Linked DNA regions of Oryzias latipes. The protein of the gene in region 1 purifies or fractionates together with the protein of each later gene. This does not show direct contact. Links are inferred from orthologs where the notes say so. Each region holds a gene or a part of one and is shown on either strand. Other genes may lie near its edges. The genes, in order: heatr3 and tmem186.

Evidence for each region.
Region 2: the proteins of heatr3 (region 1) and tmem186 purify together in Homo sapiens (co-immunoprecipitation; 3 studies listed by BioGRID and IntAct, counting the BioPlex papers as one, with this or other methods). This does not show direct contact. The link is inferred for Oryzias latipes from reciprocal best matches to the Homo sapiens genes HEATR3 and TMEM186.

What each region holds. Positions count from the first base shown.
Region 1 is NC_019861.2:30,454,841-30,459,244, forward strand, and holds the start of heatr3 (HEAT repeat-containing protein 3), read right to left. Parts: upstream 3,031-4,404; 5' UTR 2,891-3,030; coding exon 2,750-2,890; intron 2,595-2,749; coding exon 2,422-2,594; intron 1,320-2,421; coding exon 1,232-1,319; intron 974-1,231; coding exon 873-973; intron 466-872; coding exon 356-465; intron 1-355. Other genes in the region: cnep1r1 (nuclear envelope phosphatase-regulatory subunit 1), read right to left, coding at 3,421-3,462, 3,557-3,611. UniProt on the Homo sapiens protein: Plays a role in ribosome biogenesis and in nuclear import of the 60S ribosomal protein L5/large ribosomal subunit protein uL18 (RPL5). Required for proper erythrocyte maturation.
Region 2 is NC_019859.2:36,188,003-36,191,353, forward strand, and holds tmem186 (transmembrane protein 186), read left to right. Parts: upstream 1-1,280; 5' UTR 1,281-1,419; coding exon 1,420-1,440; intron 1,441-1,893; coding exon 1,894-2,559; 3' UTR 2,560-2,628; downstream 2,629-3,351. Other genes in the region: gde1 (glycerophosphodiester phosphodiesterase 1), read right to left, coding at 655-924. UniProt on the Homo sapiens protein: As part of the MCIA complex, required for efficient assembly of the mitochondrial complex I.

The DNA.
Region 1 (4,404 bases):
ATTTTAAACCTGTTTAAATACAAAAGATGGGGTAGAGCAGATTTTGTCTTGTCCAAATGTTCGCCGTTTGATTCTGGGGTGAGATATAAAGTTTTTATTCAAATGTGTTTAGGGTTAAAAGGACTCAGCCCACTGAGAAAGATGGCGAAAGAACAGCTGTGAAAACCGCAACTTTTCAGTTTTAGTCTGTGATAATTACAAGAAATGAGAACAATCATGAATAGAGAGATTAAATTTGATCATATGTTTCTGTTTCTTCGGTTTCAAGGTTAAATGTCACCAGATCTAAACTCACAAAAAAAATATTTTCATAAAAAAGAAGAAAAATTAGGAATAGTTTGTGGGTTTTAGGTACCTGCTGAAACAGCCAATTCCACATTACGTGGGTGCCTCTCCAGACACTGAGCAACAAGATCCAGGAGACCTGATTTGTTGAAAACAGACAGCGCCTGGCTGCTGTTTTCACTGGAAAAGAAAAGGACAACTTGAGGTAAAAATAGCAGAAGCTGCAAAGTTTTACAAACTTTGTTAAAGACCCACTCCATTGAAAATTGTGTTTTAACATGTTCTTGTGGCACTTTTCCTGAAAATGGAAGGACATATGTTGGATTTCTGAGTATTTCTTTACTCACATTGTTTGTCAAAAACATTTTTTGGAAAAATTGCTTATTTGTGGCGTCGCAAATATACTGGGCGGGCCACAAGCTTGCTCCAAGCTCTCGACAATGATTTTGGCGAAAAATGGCATAATTATAGTTAAAAGACCACTGGGAACACTTTTACAACAGATCAATAGATGACCGAGTGGGTCTTTATTGAAAAGCACTGGTAGGAAAGGGTGTCATCGAAAGCAGCACAACTTCCTGGTTTACCATAGGTTCCACAGCAGGTTCACCGCCTCGTTGGCAACATCCTCCACAGCATTTTTCTGTTCCTTCATCGTCACCACGGTGCTGTCAAAACCTGCGCAACACTGGACGCAAAACAAACCTGCTTAAAAAAACAAACAACACTTTGTTTTTAACACAAATCCAACACTGACCACAGCTTCTAATGCAGACTTCCCTACAACAAAAGCTAGACTTTAACGGCTCCAGTTCTTGACGAGCTCTTCTTTTTTACGAGACGGTTTTGCTTGCGCTGTTGAACGACACTCAACTGCGGCGGCCACTACAGCCTCCCGTGACAGCCCTTAATGAGGAGTGTGTGGAGGGAAGCCGACAGCTCTCACCTCTGTCAGCAGCGCTGTCACAGGAGTCATGATGTCTTCCTTCACCATGTCCTCGCACACTTCCTGATTTCCACATGCACTCAGATTCCTGTAAAACACAACCGAGACACATTTGAAAAGTGCTACTTTCACTGCATGACCTTTTATTAAAGCATGGCGGCCCCCGCTGAAGCGTCAGATAAGTTCAAATGCCATTAAATATTAGTCATACTAAGCAGCATTATGTGCTGCATTAGGACATGAAGAGTTCCATTTAACCACCAGTTAACTCCCAGTATATGCAAACTCTAACATCACTCCAGTTTGTGTTGTGGCTTATTAAGGGGTGAAGCCAATGAAATATGAGTGGACAGAAATATGAGGATCCTCTAACAGAAGAAGTCACAGGTCTGTGAGAGCCAGAAATCCTGTGTGTTTGTAGGTGACCAAATACTTATTTTCCACCGTAATTTACAAATAAATTCTTTAAAAATCAGACAATGTGATTTTCTGGATTTTTCTCTCTCATTTTGTCTCTCACAGTTGAGGTTTACCTGTGATGAAAGTTACAGCCCTCTATCATCTTTTTCGGTGGGAAAACTTGCACAATTGGTGGCTGACTGAATACCTTTTTGCCCCTCTGCATATATCAACAGTTAAATTCAAAGTCCCTTTAGTTGTCATGCACTGGCATTGGTCCCACTTTTAGATAGAGTCTGAGGTATGACTCGGCCGTGGATTTGAAGTCATAACCTTCCAGCCTCAGGATGGACACTACCTACCACAAGGCCCCTGGGCTGGTAACAGCTCTGGTATCTTTTGGAGCAAGTATTTTCAAATACAGCTCACGTCAGAGCATTTTGTGCCACATTTTAATATAAAAATAATAAAATAATAATAACTATAAACCTGGATTAATGGTGAATGTCTGTTAGAATAGAGTGTGAGCATTAGAATGAGGAATGTTCTCCAACAATTACACAAAGACAAATGGGATAGGCTCCAGCAACCGTTTGAGCCTCATCAGGACGTGATCATAAAGGACATTTGGGCGCCTTCTATTCTCAAAATATAAAGCATAATCATTGTTAAAAGTGATTTACAGTTGATACTAACTGTATTTTCTTATTAAAAAGATTTTAAACTGAATGACAGTGTTGTTTACAGGTTTATTTATGCCTCCACTCCAGGTAAAGATTTGATTGTTTTACCTGAGCGCCCCGGCGGCAGTCTCCCTGACAGCCAAGCTGTTGTCCAGCAGCAAGGGGCCCAGGCGCCGGACAGCATGTCTCTGGAGAAAACCGGGGATGGTCTGGCTCTGTTGGACCACCCGAGAAATGCTGGCGCACGCAAACTCACGCGTGTCTGCGTTCGGGCTTTGCAGCTGAGGAAACACACTCTGTGACTGTCGGAACGAAGTCTACAGTAACTCTCCACGACAACACGTGGATTTACCATTTACGTGACCATAAACATCTATTTTGAAAAGGACACTTCAAAATGGGAACAACTGGAACCCAAACGAAAAATGCATAACACCTTTTCCAGTAGCTCCGCGGCTGGAGAGCAATCTTCACCGTGGTCTTCCTCCTCTTCGTCAACTTCTTTCACGGCTTTCACCGGCAGCCCGACGGCGTTGAACTGCGGCCGTTTAAACTTCGTGGTTTTACTTTTACCCATGACGATCAATGACTACCTATACATAAAACACGATTTTAAGTTCGCCTTGGTTCACTCTTACTGACGATTTTAGCTCAAACTCCGATCATGCCGAGTTGGAAGCCATGTGGACGAGTCTGCCGTAAAGCGATCCTTGCCGATAGAAGACACTGTCGTAAACACCACAACTGTTGTGGCGACAAAAAAAACAAAACCAGTTTCGCACCAAACCAAAGTCCCAAATATTGCATAAACAAACACACAAAAATTCACACATTGTGCATTTATTAAGCAAATAAGTTTTAAAATACAAATACTCAGATAAAACACATAACAGAAATCTGAATAAACACATCTGCACTCACACTGAATGACTAAAATACAGTTGAAGATTTTGTGAGCATGTCAGCAGCTTCAATTCCACACTGAAACACAATTTTTAAAAACTCCAGTTCAGTCTTTGCTTTGTGTTGACAAATTCCACCTCAGCGCTGCCCGGAAAAGTTGAAAGATTCAGAGTTTGTGATCATACTTTAAGTCATTGTATGTAGTTACTGGATGCTGGGTCGTGGTTTGAGAATGAGTTTTCCAGTCTGTACATAAAGTAAACAAAAAAACACAATCAATAATGTACCAAACAATGGGTTTTAATAGGAATGCAGTTTAAATAAAAAAAGATGAACTCACATCATCACAGGACATGTTGTATTCTGCTAAAACCGTGCGACAGCGAGCAGCGATTCTTAAAAGGGCAAAGGTCAAAGATAACAATTGAAAATGGGTTTGTTAAAGAAATCTAAAGAACTTTGTATATTTTTATGGCTCCTACAGGTTTCTGTAAGTTAAATCTGAGACTTTTAAGGACATTTTTAAACATGTATTTAATATCCACTTCACAGCCTATTTTCAGGCCATATTGGCAAAAGGGAAAGAGCCCAAAAAAAGAGCCAGAAGGATGTTTTTTTTTTTCATGTCAAACCAGGTCATTATAAAGCTGAACTTTCCCATAATACTCATAAACCACCAATTCTGTTTGCAATCTCAAAGTTTGCAATAATTGGTTCCTACTTTGAACAGAAATTGTATAAAAGAACCGTTAAAGAAAAAGCCTGGAGCAAGATTCACGAGATTTCAGATCTCAGCTTTGACATTTCACACCAAGCCTCTTCTAACTGTGAGTACATGCAATAAGTACGGGGTAGCGACAGTCCAGTGTGAACACAGCATACTATAAGCGTGTTCAACGAACCTGCGTTCAACGGCCCACATGCCCAGTGTGTACATAGCATAAAGGTATTTTATCTAGTAAGACCCTGTTCTTCAGGGGTCGCAAACTGGTAGCCCCCTAAGATGATGTATAAGTTTATGATATATTAGTTTTGTCTGAATGACATTTCTACAGTGTTGTGTGCAAAGCTGACGAGCCAAACTATCACAGTGGGGTATATGGCTCTTGGGGGCGTGGCATTGACCGCGCCTGATGGTTGCACGCAGGGAAACATTTAAAGCAGGAAACCTGACACCCACCTCTATTT
Region 2 (3,351 bases), on another chromosome or scaffold:
ATATGATGTCATCGATTTCACAAAGTTAAAATATAATTACTATGAGCGTTTTGCACCGATTATTTTAGTCAACCGTCTTCTGAAGATAAAAACATTGATTCATTAAAAAAATACATGTTTTTGGTAATAATTGGTCCAACGCAATGCATTGTGGTCTATATTCGCTGATCTAGTGAGCATCATGCACACTGTTTTTTAGCAGAGACTTCTGGGAAATTTCTAGGGCCCTGGATGTTGGAATGGTAGATTTGGACAGCTCTAGTCAGGACATGTCCGATAACGTAAGCTCTTTCAAACGGTGGGGCTCCTACATATTTGGGGTTGCTTTGCCAAATCTTGCAGTTGCTTTAGCAACTCAAAGCTACCGATGGGCGCCGCCCCCTGTCTACGTCACAAATACGATCTTTTTCCAACAGCATTTTTTCGTCTGCTCCTGATCCACAACGATTTGAATAAAAAAGAACTCAGGAAAGCAGTTATATTCTCAACTTTCTTCATATTTGTCCTTCATCACCATAAAAAAGCCAAGAGATCAAGTTAAAAACACCAGAAACGCCGTTTTCACCAGAGCTTTCACAATAATGTGACACTGACTGACGTGCGTCTCCACGTGACACAGGACACCGTGAACACCTGTAAAGACATTCGTCTCACCTCTCTGATGGCAGCGATGGTGTTCTCCGGCGCGTCGTGCGCGCCGCCCCGGTGAGCGATCACGGACACCCGCGCGCTCTCCGCCCCGCAACCCACCGGCTGCAGCACGAGACGGGCTCGGCTGCGCGCCACTTGCGGGAAACGAAACATGGCTAGAAAACAGTACAAGGAAGTGGTGAGGACGGCAGACCACAGCGGACTTCGGGTCCCCAGTAAGACCAGCACGAAGACCAACGAGTGGAGGGCGACCTCGTCCCCCAGCGGAAGCATCGCGGCTCCTCTCCTGTCTGGAAACAGCTGGAGGAAGCGGAAGCACCGCCCGCGCGTCACTCAGACTTTCTAACCTGTCTAGGCACAGATATTCGCCATGGCACAAGCTCCGCCCCGCTGACTTGTGACGGCATCGAACGTGTAACGAAACCGGCACATTCGGCGTCTTTGAACACAGCCGTTAACGGCTGAAGCTGATCGATTCTCCCGTCGGGCCGGATGTGCTCCGTCAAGTCACGACAAAATAAAAGCCTGTAGTTTTTAACCAATAAAAACAATTTACCACAATAAATATAAAACATTTTTTTTCAATAAAATATGGCTATAAATACTATCAGCACTTTAAAACGCCTTACGTGGGCCAGCCAACCAAACAAAATGTGACTTTGAAATAAATTGAAGTAATAAAATAAAAGACTAAGAAAGGACTTCCGGGTCACTGGTCGGCTAACAGATCACTTCCTGTTCTCGTGTTGCTGTATTTTATCTTATTTTATGTCCTTGTCTCCTGTCCTGGTGAGTCTTTTTCCTCACGTTTTGCTTGTAGCAACAAAACTTCATTCGTCAATTAAGATGTTTCGTCTTTATTTATATTTTATTTATATACTAAACAGTTCTGGAGGTTCGACAACTGTTCAGAATGAACTGTCTCTAGTCTCAGCAGGTTACCTTTTCCAGATACCAGAGACGAGTTCAAAACCAGGAATAAGACATTTGACTTACAATACCATTTAGCAAATTTAGGAGGAATTACAACTGTTTTAGTTGACTGTATTGCAAATGTTGTAGTTTATCCATCCCAGATTTCATTGAACATGTATGTTAGAGTCTGGTTGAACTAAACCAGACCAATATCATACCAGTAACTTTAAATCACTTTATGAGATATTGGAAGAAACTAACCTTAACTGCTTTTCCGTCTCTCAGCATACTTCGAAGGATGTTTTTCTAAGTGAAGTTTTTTCTCAGATGGAGTCGCTGTTGCTGCGGAGGCTGACGTCCCGCCTTCTGTCATGTACCAGAGGATCCTGTTTGCTCTCAGGACGGATTGCTTACACCTTGGAGTCTCCTCCTTCTCCACACTCCTCATCAGTTCAGAGCCACCCTGGACCCGTTCCAGCTAAAGTTCCCACTTTGATCCGACACTACGACTCGCCCACCCCCAAATATTCAATGATTTACACCCTGCCACACATTAAGTTCCTCAGGGCGGTGTCCAGACTTAAACTCCTCCAGACCGCCATCACTGCTGTCATCCTGCCTCCAGTGTTTGTCCTGTATTTCCAGGGAGCCGTCTCCTTCTTTTTGGTCAGCTACTCCACTGGAATCGCTGCGTTTGCTGGCGTCATGCTGTACACGCTAAGCCATTTCTTCAGGAGGGTTGTAGGAATGATGTACCTTGATCCATCTCAAACCGTGCTGAAAGTTTCCCACCTTACTTTCTGGGGAAAGCGCAGTGATATGTACATTCCTGTTTCCGATGTTATGACCATTGGAGATACTGGAGATTCAGCGAATGAGACCATCCTCCGGCTTCAGAGGTACAGCGGCCCCGAGACGTTGTATTTCTCTGTGTATTTTGGAAAGGTGGTGGATAGACAGGGCTTTGAGAAAGTATTTGGAAGTTTAACATAAATTCTTTGAACTTTTCTTGGGGGGGGGGAAACTGTTGTGCTGGAAGTTAATAAAAATGTAAACATATTACAGTCCTGACTGTTACCTTCACATGTTCAATGCTAACTAAGGCCGAATCCGAATTCCTCCTCTACCCCTCCGGCTTCTCCCTATTCCTCCAATTGTTGGGGCATTTGGAGGGTCTGAAATAGTTTAAGGGGGCAAACCCTTCAAAAGGGTGATCCTGTAGAGGAGAAATGCATTTCTTCACTTGGGTTTGCTCTGAAGGACTGAAGTTAAGGACTTTTTGTTTTAGCGTCACTCTTTAACGTTATAAAACTGATGTTAGGAATTTTCCGAGCGCTGACGGGGACTATGGATTATGTCGTCGAGTGGGAGTGATGCCCGAATCAGGAGACAATATTTTCCCATATCCCTCCGTTTGGAGGGCTAAATGAAGGGGTAGGGAGAAGCCGCAGGGATGAGGGAAGAATCCGGATTCAGCCTTAGACATCTGTCCGCCATTTGTAGCAGATTTTTCCTGATTGGACACACGGAGTCCAGTTTCAGGATCAATAATTGGTTTTCTGAGCTAAATGAGTTGTAGAAATCCTAAAAGAAATGTTCTCAACGATTAAAAAAAATCCTAGAAATAGATATCTTGGAAGGATCACTCTTCAGAGGAAACCTCAGCTCTCAGAGAAGAAAAAGAAATCCAGTCATTGGGTTGAATCCGAATTAATTCGTTACCCCTCCGGTTTCTCCCTACCCCTACATTTATCCCTTCAAGCCCAGAGTTTTGGATAAACTATT